Arabidopsis thaliana: one gene and its partner. The protein of the gene in region 1 interacts with the protein of each later gene in a pairwise test. Each region holds a gene or a part of one and is shown in the gene's direction. Other genes may lie near its edges.

Region 1 (8,936 bases):
GGGAAATTGTTCCCAAAATCTTCTCCTATTTTGTTTAGATCCCCTTGGATGAATGTTGCATTCTCTATGCCGTTTATTTGGGCATTCTTGTGTGCATCTGTTATTGCTTGTGGTACTACTTCATAACCATACACGTGTTTCGCCCTAGAGGGAGAAGAATCAGACTGAACAATCAGCAACTGCAATTTTATTTTTAATCTTTGACAGTACTTTACGCTCATGTTGTTTACCTTCTGGCAAGTGTAAGGCCTATGGTACCAGTTCCACAGAAAAGATCGAGCACGACTTCTGAGCCATCTCCTTTAAGTCCAGCAGATTCCTCAATAAGCTTATATAAAACTTCAGCCTACACAGTGAACACCATTTTATTTTCAACAAGTTGTGATTAATGTTTTGAGTGTAAAAGAAACCATGTTGCTTAGTGGTACCATATACCTGATGAGTGTTAGTCTGAAAGAAAGAGTTGGCTGAAATTTGAAATGTAAGCCCTCTTAAGACCTCTGTGATTGTATCCTTCCCATAAAGAGTATATTCCTTTTCGCCAACGGATGTGTTTCCTACCGAAGAATTTACATTATTCATAATGCTTACCTGTATTTGTATGAGCCAAGTAAAAAAGTATGGAAATTGTTAAATTACAAACCAAGAAAAATGCTACTCAATTACGGGTTGTAGGAATGAAGCAAATCGGATTCAGTACTAACCACTTGAGGAATTGATGAAATCCTATCAACCAGGGGTTTCAACAGCTCTGGCTTATAAGACGATGTCACAAAATTGACCATAAGTTCTAGTGAACCAGTCTCCACATTCCTATGGTCAAGTTTAATCACAAGAAAACATCAGAAAAACTAGTGCAATGAAAGAACTATCGAATAGCACAGATTTAACTATCATTTTTCACTCCCATCAATTCTAGTTCATCATGACAAACACACTATTCCCTGTTACTGGTCTTATGTTACAAGAACAAGTTTCTTATTCTACCGACAATATGATTCAAGTACCTTTAATACCTTCCAGTTCTCAGCATCAAATGTTTAAGAAACCCAACATGTGAACGACAATCATATGGTGAAAGACTTAATTCAGGATCTCTCCAGCAATCTTGGACAGCAGCAAGAACCTATTTTGATTTATAAAAAAAAGTTATTAATGATTCTGAGAGGAGAGCTCTACACAGATCAAAATTCTGTATAACTACTTTCACCATACCAAGTTTCCTGGCTCGCTCTGTAATAAGCACTTATCAACATTTAAAACCTTATCAAAAAATCCAGGTGCATGGAGCCCCAATGCAAAGTTCTTAGGACCATCTTGTCTCTCGTTTAACATTTCAATCGGAAGCCATCTTTGTGGACCAAATGAAAACTCCATCTAATTCAAAATGTCAACATTTATAAGCACAGAGTCTAAAACCAAAGCACCAACCAATAAGCACAACAATCAAACAAACCTTATTCCGATAATGGAATTGAATATCGCAAGCAACAATAGGCTTCAAGACAATCTCAAGGCCAGGATTGTTATCAGAAAACCTTCCAACATGTCTGATAAGCTCATGAACTTGCTCTTCTTTAGCTCTAAGCTGAGCTTCATAAGAGAGATTCTGAGTTTTGCAACCACCACAGTAAGATGCATACTCACATGGAGCTTCTACTAAGTCCTTATGTGGAGATATTGTCTTCATTTTTGTCACCTAAGAGAAACAACCAAAAAACAACAAATCAAAACTAAAAATCGTAACTTTATAACTAAAAATCGTAATTAGAAGATAAAGGTGAAGTTTTTATGAAACCTACTTCAGCATAGCTGCCTTTGCGGCGAGTGACACGGCCAAGAAAACGTTCGCCGGGAAGAGCTCGGTCACACATAACGACGTAGCCAGTTCCATCAACTTTACAGATTCCTTTGCCTTTGAATCCTAAACTCTCGCACACAAGCTCCACTGTTTCTCCTCGTTTCGGATAATACGGCGCCGTTTTCTCATTGCTTACGTTGGTGTTGTTCTCGTCGTTGAGCTTCTTCTGGGCTTTATTACCGCCCGAGAATTCAGAAGGGGAGAGAGGAGCGAGAGAAGACGAGCAGCATCGAAACCTATGAAGCCATGAGCGTGTGGGCACCACCACGTACCTGAGTCCATGAGCAGGCGTCGCGGCCAACATTGAAACGGAGCCCGAGTCGGGTGCTAATTTCTGAATCTGTTGATAAGAGAGAACAGTGTGAATAGATTTCAAAACGACATCGTGTTTGCGTCGACCTATCTTCTTCGTCTTGTATAGCTTAAACCCCTAATCATATACTAAACCCACAACGACAGCGTTTTGAGAGTTGCTACTGAATGCTGATTAGTCAGGGCTCGGTATACGGGTATCCGTTCGGGGTTTTCGGATTTAGGCTCTTAGAGCCCATTCGGATATTTATAATGTTTGGGTGGAGTTCAGTTTGGTTCCTAGGTTCGATTCGGATCGGGTTTACCTTTCGAATTCAGGTTTTTGGGTTTGGTTCGGATCCGAAACTACTGGAGAAAACTTCCAACAAATGAGCAGCCTGAGACACTCAATTTTTTTTCTACTTGCTCTTTTATCTTTTGTGGATTAAGTAATCTTTGGAATAGAATAGAATCGTACTTGACTATAGAACAATTCTTGCAATTTTTCACTTTGAAAGCTTTGTTCCCACTACAAGATTTTGAACCAAAACAACTTTCATATTCCAACAATTTCGGTATGCCTCTTTTACTTTTACTTTTGATATCAACTATGAAATCAGATTTTTGATTTTGTTTTTTATGCAAATTAATAATTCTGAATTCTTTTAGTGGCAAAGTACTGATTATCAACTTGATAATATAACTTGTTAGTTGTTAGAAAAATATTTCTTAGCAAACAAAAACAAAGTTGTACAAAGTTGTTGAAACAGATTTAACCAAACTGGAGAATTATATAAACATTGAAAAAATTAAAGACATCAAACCCAAAACCCACATTAATTACATGAAGCGTGTGTTTCCGAATAGTTTATTTAATACTACAGTACATCGTAATCAAACCGTAATACGTTTTGTCTAAATTGTAATAAAACGTATTAAGACCGTCAGTTACAAAAGAGACCAACAGATACAAATGTCCTAACTAGGGTTTAATGCTTTATTGTGAGTTTCTTTACATTTAAGCTCTCTGTTTCCAAAAGTAGATACCAAAATCAGATTAGAGTTTCAGAGACATCTCTCGAATACGATCATCAGACAAGACTTAACCTCCATTTGCACGTCTTCCTGCTCACGACAGACAAATCATGAACGAATCCGACAGCTGAACGAATTGCGTGTCTGAGAAGATCCAAATCCTAATTTTCTACCTTTTTTTTTTGGGTAAAGTTTCCATTCAAAGTTTCAATCTTTCTTTTCTTTCTCCAATCAAATTCGTCATTCTTTGTCTCTGTTCTTCTAAAACGACAGGAACTAAGGTTAGAATTTGGAGCTTCTCGTACGTTTTTGCTTGCCTACGTTTCCGGACAAAACCCTATTTGGTAAATCCTCATTCTTGTCTGATTGGTTGAGGGTAGACAATCTACTGAGATTTGTGAATGTTTTAGGATAGACAATCTAATTGTGTTTCTCTTCTTATGTAAGTAGCATATAAACAGAACAGGTTCTGTTCATCAAGACACTGAAGCCTGATGGGGATGGAGGAAGGGATTAAAGATAATGCTGCATCAGCTCCCAATTCAAGACCTACAAACCAACTTAAAGCTCTTTTACCGATGCGGGTGCTTCAAGTTTTCTTGTTGTTCTTTGTTTTGGTTCTTGGAATCTCAGTCATTAGTATGCACATGATCAAGTACTTAAAGATTCAAACTTTAGCTCCATCGACATTGATCTCTACTTATGATGAGAGAATTACGTTAGAGAGCCTTATCAAGCCTCCATTGAATGGTTGGCATTCCATGAATGACAGTGAGCTTCTTTGGCGTGCTTCGATGGAGCCTCGGATACTTGACTATCCATTTAAAAGAGTTCCTAAAATGGCATTCATGTTTCTCACCAAAGGACCTTTGCCATTTGCTCCACTTTGGGAAAGGTTTTTCAAAGGGCATGAGGGCTTTTACTCAATCTATGTTCATACTTTGCCAAATTATAGATCAGATTTCCCAAGCTCATCTGTGTTTTACAGAAGACAGATCCCAAGTCAGGTACTTTTGTTGATCAATGTATTAATGTTGCTTCTTGTGTCTTGATTTGGTTTATCTCACTTCGGAGTTTCTTTATTTGTGTGTAGCATGTAGCTTGGGGAGAGATGAGTATGTGTGATGCTGAAAGGAGGCTTTTGGCTAACGCGTTGCTCGATATCTCTAACGAATGGTTTGTTTTACTATCTGAAGCGTGTATTCCTCTTCGCGGTTTCAACTTTGTCTACCGTTATGTCTCTAGATCAAGATATAGTTTCATGGGTTCTGTTGACGAGGACGGGCCTTACGGGAGAGGCAGATATAGCTATGCAATGGGACCAGAAGTAAGTCTAAACGAGTGGAGAAAAGGGTCTCAGTGGTTTGAAATAAACAGAGCACTTGCTGTTGATATTGTTGAAGACATGGTTTACTATAACAAATTCAAAGAGTTTTGTAGACCTCCTTGTTATGTAGATGAACATTACTTCCCAACAATGCTCTCTATTGGATATCCGGATTTTCTCGCTAATCGGACATTGACTTGGACAGATTGGTCAAGGGGTGGTGCTCATCCAGCTACTTTTGGCAAGGCTGATATAACAGAGAAGTTCATCAAGAAGCTGTCAAGAGGTAAAGCTTGCTTCTACAATGATCAGCCATCTCAAGTTTGTTATCTTTTTGCAAGAAAGTTTGCTCCAAGCGCATTGAAGCCTTTACTTAAACTTGCACCAAAGGTTCTTGGGTTCTAATTAATGGATCTCTTGTCTTCTTTTTGTTCTTGGTTTTTGTTCTGAAATGTTCTTGAACTTGAGTGTAGCTTCGTATAGCATGGACACAACTCTGATCCTTATTGTCTCCTTCCACATTGATAATATAGATACTTCAATGGCTAAAGAACTCTTCTTGTTCCAATGTTTAAACTCCTCAAAACTGGAATAGAAGCACAAAAGTCTATCTTTTATTAGCTGTTTGTCAATACAAGAACAATGTAAGATGTGTGTATAAGTGTGTGTATGTTTAATGTATAGTGATAGTATTTGATTTACATCTTCATAAGAAGAGTAAATAGAATATACTGAAAATCTAAGCTAGATGAAGAAGCAATGAGAGCAAAAGAATGTGGAAGGGTTTCAAATATAAAAGAACTAACTAATCATATGATCTGAGTCCCTCCTTTCTTCCTGAATGAAACGGAAGATCCTTGCAGCAGATTCAGAGGCAGATGTTGAATTATGAGGAACGGCTTTAATGGCGCGAAGCATCGGTTGCTGTTTCTGCTTGTACTCATCAGTTTGATGGGTAGGCTCTGTAGGAAACAGAGGAAGCACTTCAAGTTTATGCTTCTCTGGTGGACTTGAAGCTGTGCTTCCATGTATGTCACTGTCATTAGATTCCTGAGACTTCTTTAAAGAAAATGGAATGGCTTGTGTCATGTGGCTTGATGTGTTAGACCATCTTTGAAACTGACCAAACGGGTTTGTTTGGTCAACTGTTGTCCTCGCGTTAGGAGGTGGGAAGTAGCTGTGGCTGAATGGAGAAGAAACAGGGAACCTGAATGGTGTCTCGAGTGAATCTTGGCCATAAACTGGAACCATGAAGGCTGAAGAAGAAGGAGGACATGGTCCTGGAAATGGTTTATAGACCAGACCGTCTGAATCAGTTATTACAGGAACTAACCATTGGTTTCCAGGAGGAGGAAGTAGCTGTTGTGGCCAAATAGGAGTCACGAGTTCTTTGCTTATGGAAGGTAGAGGAAGCTTTGGTTTCATATGCTCTGGATATTCTTCAGGTACAGGTTTGTGATTCTCAGTGTTTGGCTTTCTAACCTTTGAAGCCGCCATTGCAAGCTGATGTGATGACCTCATTGTACCATGTTTGACACCATTAAGCTTACTTTCAAGAAACAAGTTTGGCGACTTCGCAACCATCTTTTGAACCTGCATCATATTAAGTAATCTGAAGCATAGAAAGCAAACCAGAAACAATAAGGTTATTAAAAGCTTACCATTATCAGTCTATGGAGCTCAAATACTTGCCCGGCAAAGATCTTTTGCTGACTGAAAATATCAACAATAAAAAATAGTAAGAAATACGGCAAAGTTATGAAGTTGGGATCATAAGAAAAGTGAGAGGAGGATACAAACTTGATCATATATGTTCTCATCTTCCAAAACCTCTTTTCACCAATCACTCTGGCAATATCATAAGAAGATGCACTTATACCAGACAAAGACTCTATTGCAGAGCAGTTTGAAGCAACTTGTTCACGCCGAGGCAGAGTTTTGGGCTTCTTTTGAGTTTCATTGTTAAACTCAGCAAAGTTTCTTCTATATGATTGAGTTTTCATCACATTGGGAGACCCATTCTGGTTTTCATCTTCCAAACGTTCTGACAAAAGGATCTTAGAACCAACAACAGCCTCTCCTCCGGGTTTACTGCTACCGCTAGTACAAAATTGGAGTGACAAATCTGTGTTTGCTTGTGGATCTATTTCTGAGTGTATAACAATAGGAGACTTAATAGAATCCAAGCTGGTAAGGTTCTTGAGGTACTCATTTTGTTTTATTGAACTAGGCTTAGTATTAGTAACTGATGATCCTTTAGGACTTGTATAATTTATGCCTTTTTTATTCAGCTTCCCCTCAAACTTTGTGTTGTAGATTGGTGAAAACTGATTCTTTTCAGGTCCATCAATCTGTTACAAAAAAGTATTCAACAAGTCATAAAGTGATAATCTAAATATGCATTGTCACCATTCTTGTATATAAATCTGCAGACACACAAAACCAAGAAAGTTGAATGAGTGAATTAAAAGGACTCACGAGACGGGCATTGTTTGGTGGTGGAGGAAGAGACAAAGAGAAAGTGGAAAGAGAATCAGATATGTTGTTGGTCGGAGAAGGAAGATTGGGACGTTTAGAAGAGACGAGAGACATTGTTTTGCCATCAAATTGTTGAGACAGGCCTCCTCTTCCAGTATCATTGACATGAACCCTTGGAAACAATGGAGGAATTGTTATCCTCTTTGCTTCATCTTTCATTCCTCCCATCTTTTCCCTACGCTCACAAACAAACCCTATTAACAATTCCTTCCCTTACACGTAACCTAAAGAAATGAAATCAGAACCAGAAATTGTTAGGTAACCTTGCAAAACCTAGTGCCAAGATCGAAATCTCACTTTAGATCAATCCCAAAATCCAAAAAGATTATAAACTTTGTTTTTGTTTTACGTAGATGGAGATCAAATCCACCTGAAAGAAACAAATTTTAAGAAGAAGAAGAAGAAAGCAGAGAAGCAAAAGAAGATATTTTTGTGTCGTCCCACAATGGATTCCATACGAGGGGACGACAAAAAGCTTAGGGGTGTGTGTGTGTGTGACTCTGCGGTCATGTCTGGTTGCTTCAAGTAAAGATCCCTATCTCACGGGAACTCGGATTGTACATGACGTGGAAGGTATTGGTTGGTTAGGTCCGAGTGGTAGGAGAATGGCGTGAAGGTGGAGATGTTCGGGTGACTCGGTCTTTTACATACACAGCCACATGTTTTTGTTATCTCTCTCTTGGCTAACTTCATCATCATCTTTCCTAAATTGGGCTAATCTTTAGCGAAATATCTGTTTCTGATCACGATCACTTTACACTATTGTGGGAGAAGGTGCCGTGTTCGGTCGGAGTCTTTCTTACCTTACGCGGTTTGGTCGGACCGAAGGATGGTTTAGGACAAAACCCATAGGAAAGGACCATGGATTTCCACGTGCCGAAGCGCGTGAAAGGTCGACGTCTCGTTGTGGAATTTTTAAAATTTTGACGTGTTAAGAGAGCGTGTGCATACGTGGGCTTGAGCCCACTAGTTTCATTTAGTGTGAGTCTTTGGGGCCCTTTGCAAGATTTTAGACATCTTACTTGGAGACAGTGGTGAAGCAACGTGACCAGTGACCGTGTGAGACTGTGAGTCATCTCATTGATGACAACTGAAAATTACTTTCGTGATTAAAGGTTTTTATTTATTTATTTAATGATATGTAATATAATGTTTGTGAATTGTGATAATATAACATTGCTTATATTTTTGTAACAAGAGAAATGAACTAAGTCAATAGTATACAATGATAAGTTTAATTACAACAACTTCTTGATGAGTTTGTTTTGCTTTGTGATAACTTCTATCATTTTAAGCTTTTTCTTCTACTTTGTAAAGTATTCATTAGAGTTGACCGTTTAACGCGTTCAACTAGAGATAAAATTACGGAAGTTGTTTTGTTTAAAGAATATAAAACAAAACTTCCGAATTAGGTTACTAATAAAAATAACATTGCTTATATTTTTGTAACAATAGAAATTAACTAAGTCAATAGTATACAATGATAAGTTTAATTACAACAACTTCTTGATGAGTTTGTTTTACTTTGTGATAACTTCTATCATTTTAAGCTTTTTATTCTACCTCGTAAATTATTCATTAGAGTTGACTGTTTAACGCGTTCAACTATAGATAAAATTACGAAAGTTTTTTTGTTAAAAGAATATAAAACAAAACTTCCGAATTAGGTTACTAATAAAAATAATATGAAATTTTCTTTTATTAAGCAAAATTTTAAAAAAATATTTCTGTTAATACAATGAAAAGATATAGTCAAACTTAATATTGCAGATCACGCTAGCACATTGAGACTTCAAACACAATAAATAAAAATGTGAGAAATAAACTAAATTTAGTATGGGTTTATATACTAAAATTATTTTCTTAAATTTCAATTCGTATGGA
Region 2 (8,091 bases), 1.5 Mb from region 1:
GTTTGATGAAGAAGCTAAAGATTTTACATGTGTTTTTTTTGATAAAATGTGAATCGGAAGATTATACATTTGCAATGGAAATGAAATGATTTTGATCTTTTTGGTTTGATTTTAGGGATGGAAACCAGAAAAGAATTTGCGGTTTCTCTTGCAGAAAGTCTTGAAGCAAAGCGACGTGGGTAACCTCGGAAGGATCGTTTTGCCAAAAGTAATTTTTCTTCTAATTTCTTGTAGCCTTTGCTTTCCATTTTCTAAAAAAGGTTCAATGTTTGTGTAAAAATATTGTCAAGTTTTTATTTTATTTTTACTCTTATTGGTTAAGTTATATTTTACTGAATTTTTATTTTTTTTAGAAAGAAGCTGAGACACACTTGCCGGAGCTAGAGGCAAGAGACGGCATCTCTCTGGCCATGGAAGACATCGGAACCTCTCGTGTTTGGAACATGCGCTACAGGTAACTGATTATGATGCTAACATGTTAACATTGATTCTTTTTATAAAAACAATTCGTGTATTTTGTCAAAAATTGGAACTCGACCAAAATGTTTTTTCGGTTATTTAATTGTCTTCTTAAATTGGTTTTGCAGGTTTTGGCCTAACAACAAAAGCAGGATGTATCTCCTCGAGAACACCGGTACGTTTTTGAAAATGTACCCGTTAATAATTTTCCTTTCTTTTGGTTTGTTTGTTCTCTTGTAATTATTGTTGTGGACGCATACATATCTAATTTTCCTTGAAATTACGTTTACAGGCGATTTTGTGAAAACCAATGGGCTCCAAGAAGGTGATTTCATAGTCATATACTCCGACGTCAAATGTGGCAAATATGTAAGAGAAGCATCACAATATTTTTCTATACTTTTCATTAGTATTTAACTCTCATCATTACTTTTGTTGGTATTTATCTTGTCATAATTAATTGAGAATAATATTATGACAGTTGATACGAGGGGTTAAAGTAAGACAACCGAGCGGACAAAAGCCGGAGGCCCCACCGTCGTCAGCAGCTACGAAGAGACAAAACAAGTCGCAAAGGAACATAAACAATAACTCTCCGTCGGCGAATGTGGTGGTCGCTTCACCAACTTCTCAAACTGTTAAATGAAAAACAGAGACAAAAAGAAACAATATAAATATTATTATGTACCAAATAAGAAAGAGGGCAAAAGGAAAAAATGGCAGCGTACCCGAGTGTGCCACTTCTCGTGCATGCATGGGATCTTGAAGACAAATGGAGGGTCATGATTAAAGCTGTTTGGTCGGGGTCCGGGTTTTTACTCCATTTTTTGCTTTTTCTTGTCGAGTCGGTTCTTTTATAACTCTTTACTCTTTTTACCTTCAGGATATTGTAGAGATGATTAATTCTGGAAATGGTGTTTGTGTTATATTTCTGGAGAGATGATTATATAGTTCTTTTGTTGTTGTAATTGGTTAATATTACATATGTGGCTCATTTCTTGAGTCGAGCTTACATATCGTTTATAATGTGAATGTTTTAAGAAGAGTTGAATGATACAATATTTTTACACAAACATTGATAATGATAATAAAAATGATAATTAATGTACAAAATTATTTGTAAATATGGACATATGGACAATTTAAGAAGGAATTGAGATAATTAATTTTGTACATTAATTATCATTATCAATGTACAAAATTATTTGTAAATATGGACATATGGACAATTTAATGATAGTAAAAATGATAATTAATGATAATTAATGTACAAAATGATAATTAATGTACATATGGACATATGTACAAAATTATCCATATCATTCACATATTCACATTGTAAATATTTGTAAATAGAATGTTTACATATGGACATTTTAAGAAGAGTTGTTCCTTACCACTTTGATTCTATCATTTTCTTGTTTATCTAGTTAGCTTGAACCCTTTGTATTATTGAGTAACGAAAATCTTTGGAGGAAAAAAACAAGTGAGGTAGGATTATAATTTTCCTCATATAAGTGTGTTGTTTGTGATACATCATTATTCTTTCTTATTTTTGGTTAAACCCAAAAACTGGACCGCACCTAAGGAATTGAGATATTCAAAAAAACAATGATCTGACCCGTGCCAAATATCCACACCACACCTTTCTCCATTCAGGCCCTACTAGAAAGCCGTGAGACGGTTGACAACTTGAAAACAAAAGACTTATAATGAGACTATGAGAAACAAAAAAGAAAGTGGAGTTGATGAAATAATCTGATCTTATGAAAGTGAAGTTGATTACAAAAGGAGCAGCGTGGTAGTTGAATAGTTTCAGATGTTGATAAAGACGTGACATACATAGTTGTCTCAGTAATCTAATCAAGGACTCCTCATGTTTCTAACTTCTTCTTCTATAAAGTTGCATGAGATTTATATCTGGAGAACATATATTGCTCTAATTATGTGGTCTTATTATCATCAATATATGCCTTTTTCTACATATGAATATATGATCGACATGTATAGATATTTTTTGTTGTTCAAAAAAAAAAAATGTATAGATATTTTTTTCATTTTCCAAAAGGATTGAATTTCGAAATGGTGTAGCCACCTTAGAGGTATACAACAATAAATAATTTTCCCGACTTGTAACAAATGTTTGGAACAAAAGTGTCAATTAGAATCAAAGTAACCATCAGATGCCTTTTATAAATTTCTTTATCTATGATTATTTTTTAACCAAATTCAGACACTTCTATATTACTAAAAGCCAAACTTGATATCTATTTCAACAAAAAAATTTTTTTTTAGTCTGCTGTGACTCAGTATATCTAATTGTTTTCACATCATTCATAAACTTTTACTAGTCCATTGTAAAATACAGTATATTAGAAATTGTTTTCCTATCTATATATGCTTAGGTTTAAGAAAACAACTTTTGGCCATGAATATTTGAGTTTTTAAGTGGTTTTGGATTATAGATTTTGCCAAAAGGAAAAAATATTGATTTAAAATTACAAAAAGAAATCTGCAAACAATTATCAAAAACTCATTAAAGTGGGATTTATTTTTCATTTTGTTTACAAAAATGCGAACTCTAATCTTGATTGGATAATTAAATGGGTTTTTGGAAAACCAATAACTATGCTATAAAGTATAAACTACTACCATTCAAGCCTTCTATTTTTCTATGCCAAAAAATACTACGCAAAAAAAATTGAGCGTGTTTGATCCAACAATAAAACAAATTACTCAATCTTGTTTGATGTCAAAATCCAAATCCAAAATATGTTTCGGACACCTGACCGGTCTACTCGATTGACACCCCTGAAATTTCGAAATAGACAATACACAAAAGGACATAGACAACATAACTTCATCTCACTTAGATATTCACATTTCCCATTTTTCAAAATATTGGCTCTTCATTTTCTGTGTACTTCCAACAAATTGTCTTCTAGAGAAACCAAAACTATCTAAGATTTCTCCACCTTCTCCATCATCCACCGTTGATTCACTCATCTCATGTCTCCAATGACTCATCTACGGTCAAGATTCAAGGAGCATGAAACATCCCATGAACCAAATTACACAAAAACATTTACCTTGATAAAAAAACATCATTTTATTATTTTGGCAGAAGAAAAAGTCTTAATTCGAACTTTGAGCGTGCTTATAGTTTAATCAATTAAAGTTATAAAGAAAAGTAACTTTATAAATTCAGGAGTAATCAGTAGATTTATACCATTCTTGTCCATCGCTTTAAGCCACACTTGATCGGACGGTAAGCAATCAATCCGGTTTACACTTTCTGATTATAAAGATTCCAACTTTTGGTTATATCGGACGGTTAATAATCAATACGGTTTGAGTTTAAATCATAGCCGTTGAGATGTTTGACTAAAGTGTTTACAAAGTAGTCAACACTCTCTTTCTGCTACAAAGGACCAGTCTTGAAACTCAAAGTCCTTACCTTTCCCTTCTCTAACCTCTCTTTCTCTTTCTCTGTCTCTTTGTGAGAAATGGGCATGGAAGCTTTGAGATTTCTTCATGTTATCTTCTTCTTTGTGCTAATTCTTCACTGTCATTGTGGAACATCTCTCTCTGGTTCTTCTGATGTGAAGCTTCTTTTAGGAAAAATCAAGTCTTCACTACAAGGAAACAGTGAGAGCTTACTGTTGTCTTCTTGGAACTCCTCTGTTCCTGTTTGTCAATGGAGAGGTGTAAAATGGGTATTTTCAAATGGGTCTCCTCTTCAATGTAGTGACCTCTCTTCACCACAATGGACTAATACCTCTCTGTTCAACGACTCTTCTCTTCACCTTCTCTCTCTTCAGCTTCCTTCTGCTAATCTCACTGGTTCACTCCCTAGAGAGATTGGTGAGTTCTCTATGCTTCAAAGTGTGTTCCTCAACATCAATTCATTAAGTGGGTCAATCCCTCTTGAGCTTGGTTACACTTCTTCTCTCTCTGATGTTGATTTGAGTGGTAATGCCTTAGCTGGGGTTTTGCCTCCATCGATTTGGAACCTCTGTGATAAGCTTGTCTCTTTCAAGATTCATGGTAATAACTTGTCTGGGGTTTTGCCTGAGCCTGCTTTGCCAAATTCGACTTGTGGTAATCTCCAAGTTCTTGATTTGGGTGGTAATAAGTTCTCAGGTGAGTTTCCTGAGTTTATAACTAGGTTTAAAGGTGTGAAGTCACTTGATCTTTCAAGTAATGTCTTTGAAGGTCTTGTTCCTGAGGGTTTAGGTGTATTAGAGCTAGAAAGTCTCAATCTTTCTCATAATAACTTCAGTGGGATGTTGCCAGATTTTGGTGAGTCAAAGTTTGGAGCAGAATCTTTCGAAGGGAACAGTCCTAGCCTTTGTGGTTTGCCTTTGAAGCCTTGTCTAGGCTCCTCTAGGTTAAGTCCAGGTGCTGTTGCTGGTCTGGTGATTGGTTTAATGTCTGGAGCTGTTGTTGTGGCCTCGTTGTTAATAGGGTATTTGCAGAACAAGAAAAGAAAGAGTAGTATAGAGAGTGAAGATGATTTGGAAGAAGGTGATGAAGAAGATGAAATCGGTGAGAAAGAAGGCGGTGAAGGAAAGTTAGTTGTGTTTCAAGGTGGTGAGAATCTGACGTTGGATGATGTTTTGAATGCTACTGGGCAAGTTATGGAGAAGACTAGCTATGGTACTGTCTATAAAGCTAAGCTTAGTGATGGAGGGAATATTGCATTGAGGCTATTGAGAGAAGGTACTTGCAAGGATAGAAGTTCTTGTCTGCCTGTTATAAGGCAGTTAGGACGCATTCGGCATGAGAATTTGGTTCCCTTGAGAGCTTTCTATCAAGGGAAGAGAGGAGAAAAGCTTCTCATCTATGACTATCTTCCCAACATAAGCTTACATGATTTGTTGCATGGTATTTTCTTTCATCATCAATCTTTTTTGCCATGGATCTTTCTTGGTTGATTTTTGTTATTCATGTGTTGTTTGAATGATGTGCAGAAAGTAAACCTCGAAAGCCAGCTTTGAATTGGGCTAGGAGACACAAGATTGCACTTGGAATAGCGAGGGGACTTGCTTATCTTCATACTGGACAAGAAGTTCCTATCATCCATGGAAATATTAGATCAAAGAACGTGCTTGTGGACGACTTTTTCTTTGCAAGGCTAACTGAGTTTGGGCTTGACAAGATAATGGTACAGGCAGTAGCAGATGAGATTGTCTCGCAGGCGAAATCCGACGGGTACAAAGCACCTGAACTCCACAAGATGAAGAAATGCAATCCAAGGAGTGATGTTTACGCCTTTGGGATCCTTCTCTTGGAGATATTGATGGGTAAGAAACCAGGAAAGAGTGGAAGGAACGGTAATGAGTTTGTGGACTTGCCTTCTTTGGTTAAAGCTGCGGTGTTGGAAGAGACGACAATGGAGGTTTTCGACTTGGAGGCAATGAAAGGGATTAGGAGCCCAATGGAAGAAGGTTTGGTTCATGCATTGAAGCTAGCGATGGGATGTTGTGCTCCTGTTACAACAGTTAGACCCAGCATGGAAGAGGTTGTGAAGCAGTTGGAAGAGAACAGACCGAGGAATAGATCCGCATTGTACAGCCCAACCGAAACCAGGAGCGACGCCGAAACTCCATTTTGAGTCTAATTGTGTTCTTCTACAAGCTTTTTTTTTCTTCTGTAATTCCTCACTTTAGTTGGCTATATTTGTTTCCTTGGCAAGAAACCATTCTGATTTGATTTTATCTATATTTGTTGATGAGAAATGGTGTAAGTGTAACAGAAGCAGTTCAAAGTATTAATATTGATAGAAGAATATATGATACATGATGATACACCAAATGAGTAATGAGGCAGAAGAAGAATGCACTGTACTACAATTTTGGAGTTGAGTCGAACAACACTGCGGCTCATCAAAGCTGGCCTAGGTTGACGAGTGGAGGCAGAGAAGAGTCTAAAATGGTAAAAGAGAAAAGAAAGGAGACGATGAAAATGTAAATGACGGGGACGAAGAAAACAAGTTAGTTTTCTTCCTTTGTCTCCCTCAGCTAGTCAGTATCCTCTTCGGTCTTGGGTTTGAGGATTATACAATTAACTAACACCGCATACCGATCCTGCATTTAAGGGCACCGGAGCTGTAGGTAAGCATACTTACTACAGAAGCTGGTTTAGCTCCCAAGCTAGAGGCTCTGGCATAGCTTGCAGGAGCAGCAGCTCCAGATTTAGTGAAGTAGGCACCGTTGAGCATTAGGTCTCCTTGAGATCTCCAGTTCCATTGCTTCCATTCCCCTTGCCATGAACCTACCCTCTTTGTCACCTGCCAAAACCATTACAATATTGAGATTCATCCTTTCTCAATATCTCCTACTCCGAAAGAGAGAAATTAAGGTATACCTCTTTGGCGAAAGGGTTGCCCGGGGCAAGGAAACGATTGCCTTGACTATTGATAGTAGGGTTAGCACTTCCACCAATTGCATACATTACCCAATGAGTATAATCATTGTTTACAACATGGAAATAACCATGTCTACACCTGAAATAACAACAAAAGAATCAGCCCTCCTGATTCTTGTAGCAAACAATCATCGAAAAGAAAACATGAAATGCATGACGAACCTCGGCATTCTCTGTATAAGCCCTTCCCCAAAATGGTTATATGCTATTGTCACTTGCATCAACTTGTCTCTAGTGTACGAATCACTATGCCCCATCAACATAACCTGCATTATCCATCAAGAAACTTCTTCTCAACTCTTTAACACACCCTACACAATTCAGTTCACTATACTAACTAATTTAGCTACTAAATCAACCAAAATCCACTCCAAAAACGTGATTCTGCAGCAAATTCATCATCAGTTCCACTGAATCAGCAAAGAAAGCTAACCTCGTTGTGGTGAGTCATGTAGTTATTGGAGATAGTAATAGCAGTAGATCCCATAATAGCATCAATCAAACCATCAGCACAATTAGACAAAGAGTTATGATCAATCCAAATATGACTCGATCCAAATATCGATATAGCATCACCATCCGCCATAGTCCTCCACCCATAATGCGACGGCGAGCTTCGAACCATAGCATTACCAGTTCTTCTACAATCATGTACATTAATCCCATGGATGATAATATTCGTCACATACTGAATCGTAATACAAGCACCGCCTGCGATTGCAACGTTCACGCCTCTTCCATCGATTGTTTTGAAGCTGTTCATGATTAGCTCTTGAGTTAGAGTAATCACCATGTCTCGCTTGAAGACGATCCATAACGGACGGTCTTGTATCACAGCGTGACGGAGTGTTCCTGGTCGTGGATTAACCGCGTCGTGGTCAGATGGATCTGTGACTACGTAGTAACGACCATCTCGTCCTCCGATAGCGTTACGACCGAATCCGATCGCGCAATTCGCGAGACGCTTTCGTCGGAGATGCCAATTCCGATCACATCTCCAACAGTCGTCTATTGGGTTTCCGGTGGCGCATGAGAAGAATCCTAACCTCCTCCGCTCTGTACTGTTCTTTATTTTCCTGAAAATAACAAAAAGAGAACAGAGTTATTAAATTGTTACAAATTGACCCGTGAAGTTTTTATTTTCCTGAAAATAACAAAAAGAGAACAGAGTTATTAAACTGTTACAAATTGACCCGTGAAGTT

What was found.
Region 2: the proteins of AT3G21310 (region 1) and TMKL1 interact in a protein complementation assay, tested with the Arabidopsis thaliana proteins (one large-scale study listed by BioGRID).

Annotation. Positions count from the first base shown.
Region 1 is NC_003074.8:7,494,093-7,503,028, forward strand, and holds AT3G21310 (Core-2/I-branching beta-1,6-N-acetylglucosaminyltransferase family protein), read left to right. Parts: upstream 1-3,147; 5' UTR 3,148-3,373; intron 3,374-3,412; exon of another isoform or gene 3,413-3,460; 5' UTR 3,461-3,531; intron 3,532-3,637; 5' UTR 3,638-3,681; coding exon 3,682-4,194; intron 4,195-4,280; coding exon 4,281-4,919; 3' UTR 4,920-5,315; coding exon of another isoform or gene 5,316-6,107; 3' UTR 6,108-6,175; coding exon of another isoform or gene 6,176-6,227; 3' UTR 6,228-6,231; downstream 6,232-8,936. Other genes in the region: AT3G21300 (RNA methyltransferase family protein), read right to left, coding at 1-144, 231-346, 436-591, 705-813, 1,017-1,126, 1,216-1,377, 1,457-1,699, 1,803-2,165; AT3G21320 (EARLY FLOWERING protein), read right to left, coding at 5,316-6,107, 6,176-6,227, 6,315-6,865, 6,993-7,220.
Region 2 is NC_003074.8:8,999,676-9,007,766, forward strand, and holds TMKL1 (transmembrane kinase-like 1), read left to right. Parts: upstream 1-3,893; 5' UTR 3,894-3,965; coding exon 3,966-5,346; intron 5,347-5,432; coding exon 5,433-6,076; 3' UTR 6,077-6,268; downstream 6,269-8,091. Other genes in the region: ABI3 (AP2/B3-like transcriptional factor family protein), read left to right, coding at 116-208, 354-454, 588-634, 752-828, 941-1,105; AT3G24670 (Pectin lyase-like superfamily protein), read right to left, coding at 6,530-6,751, 6,829-6,967, 7,051-7,154, 7,322-7,964. UniProt on the Arabidopsis thaliana protein: Does not seem to have conserved a kinase activity.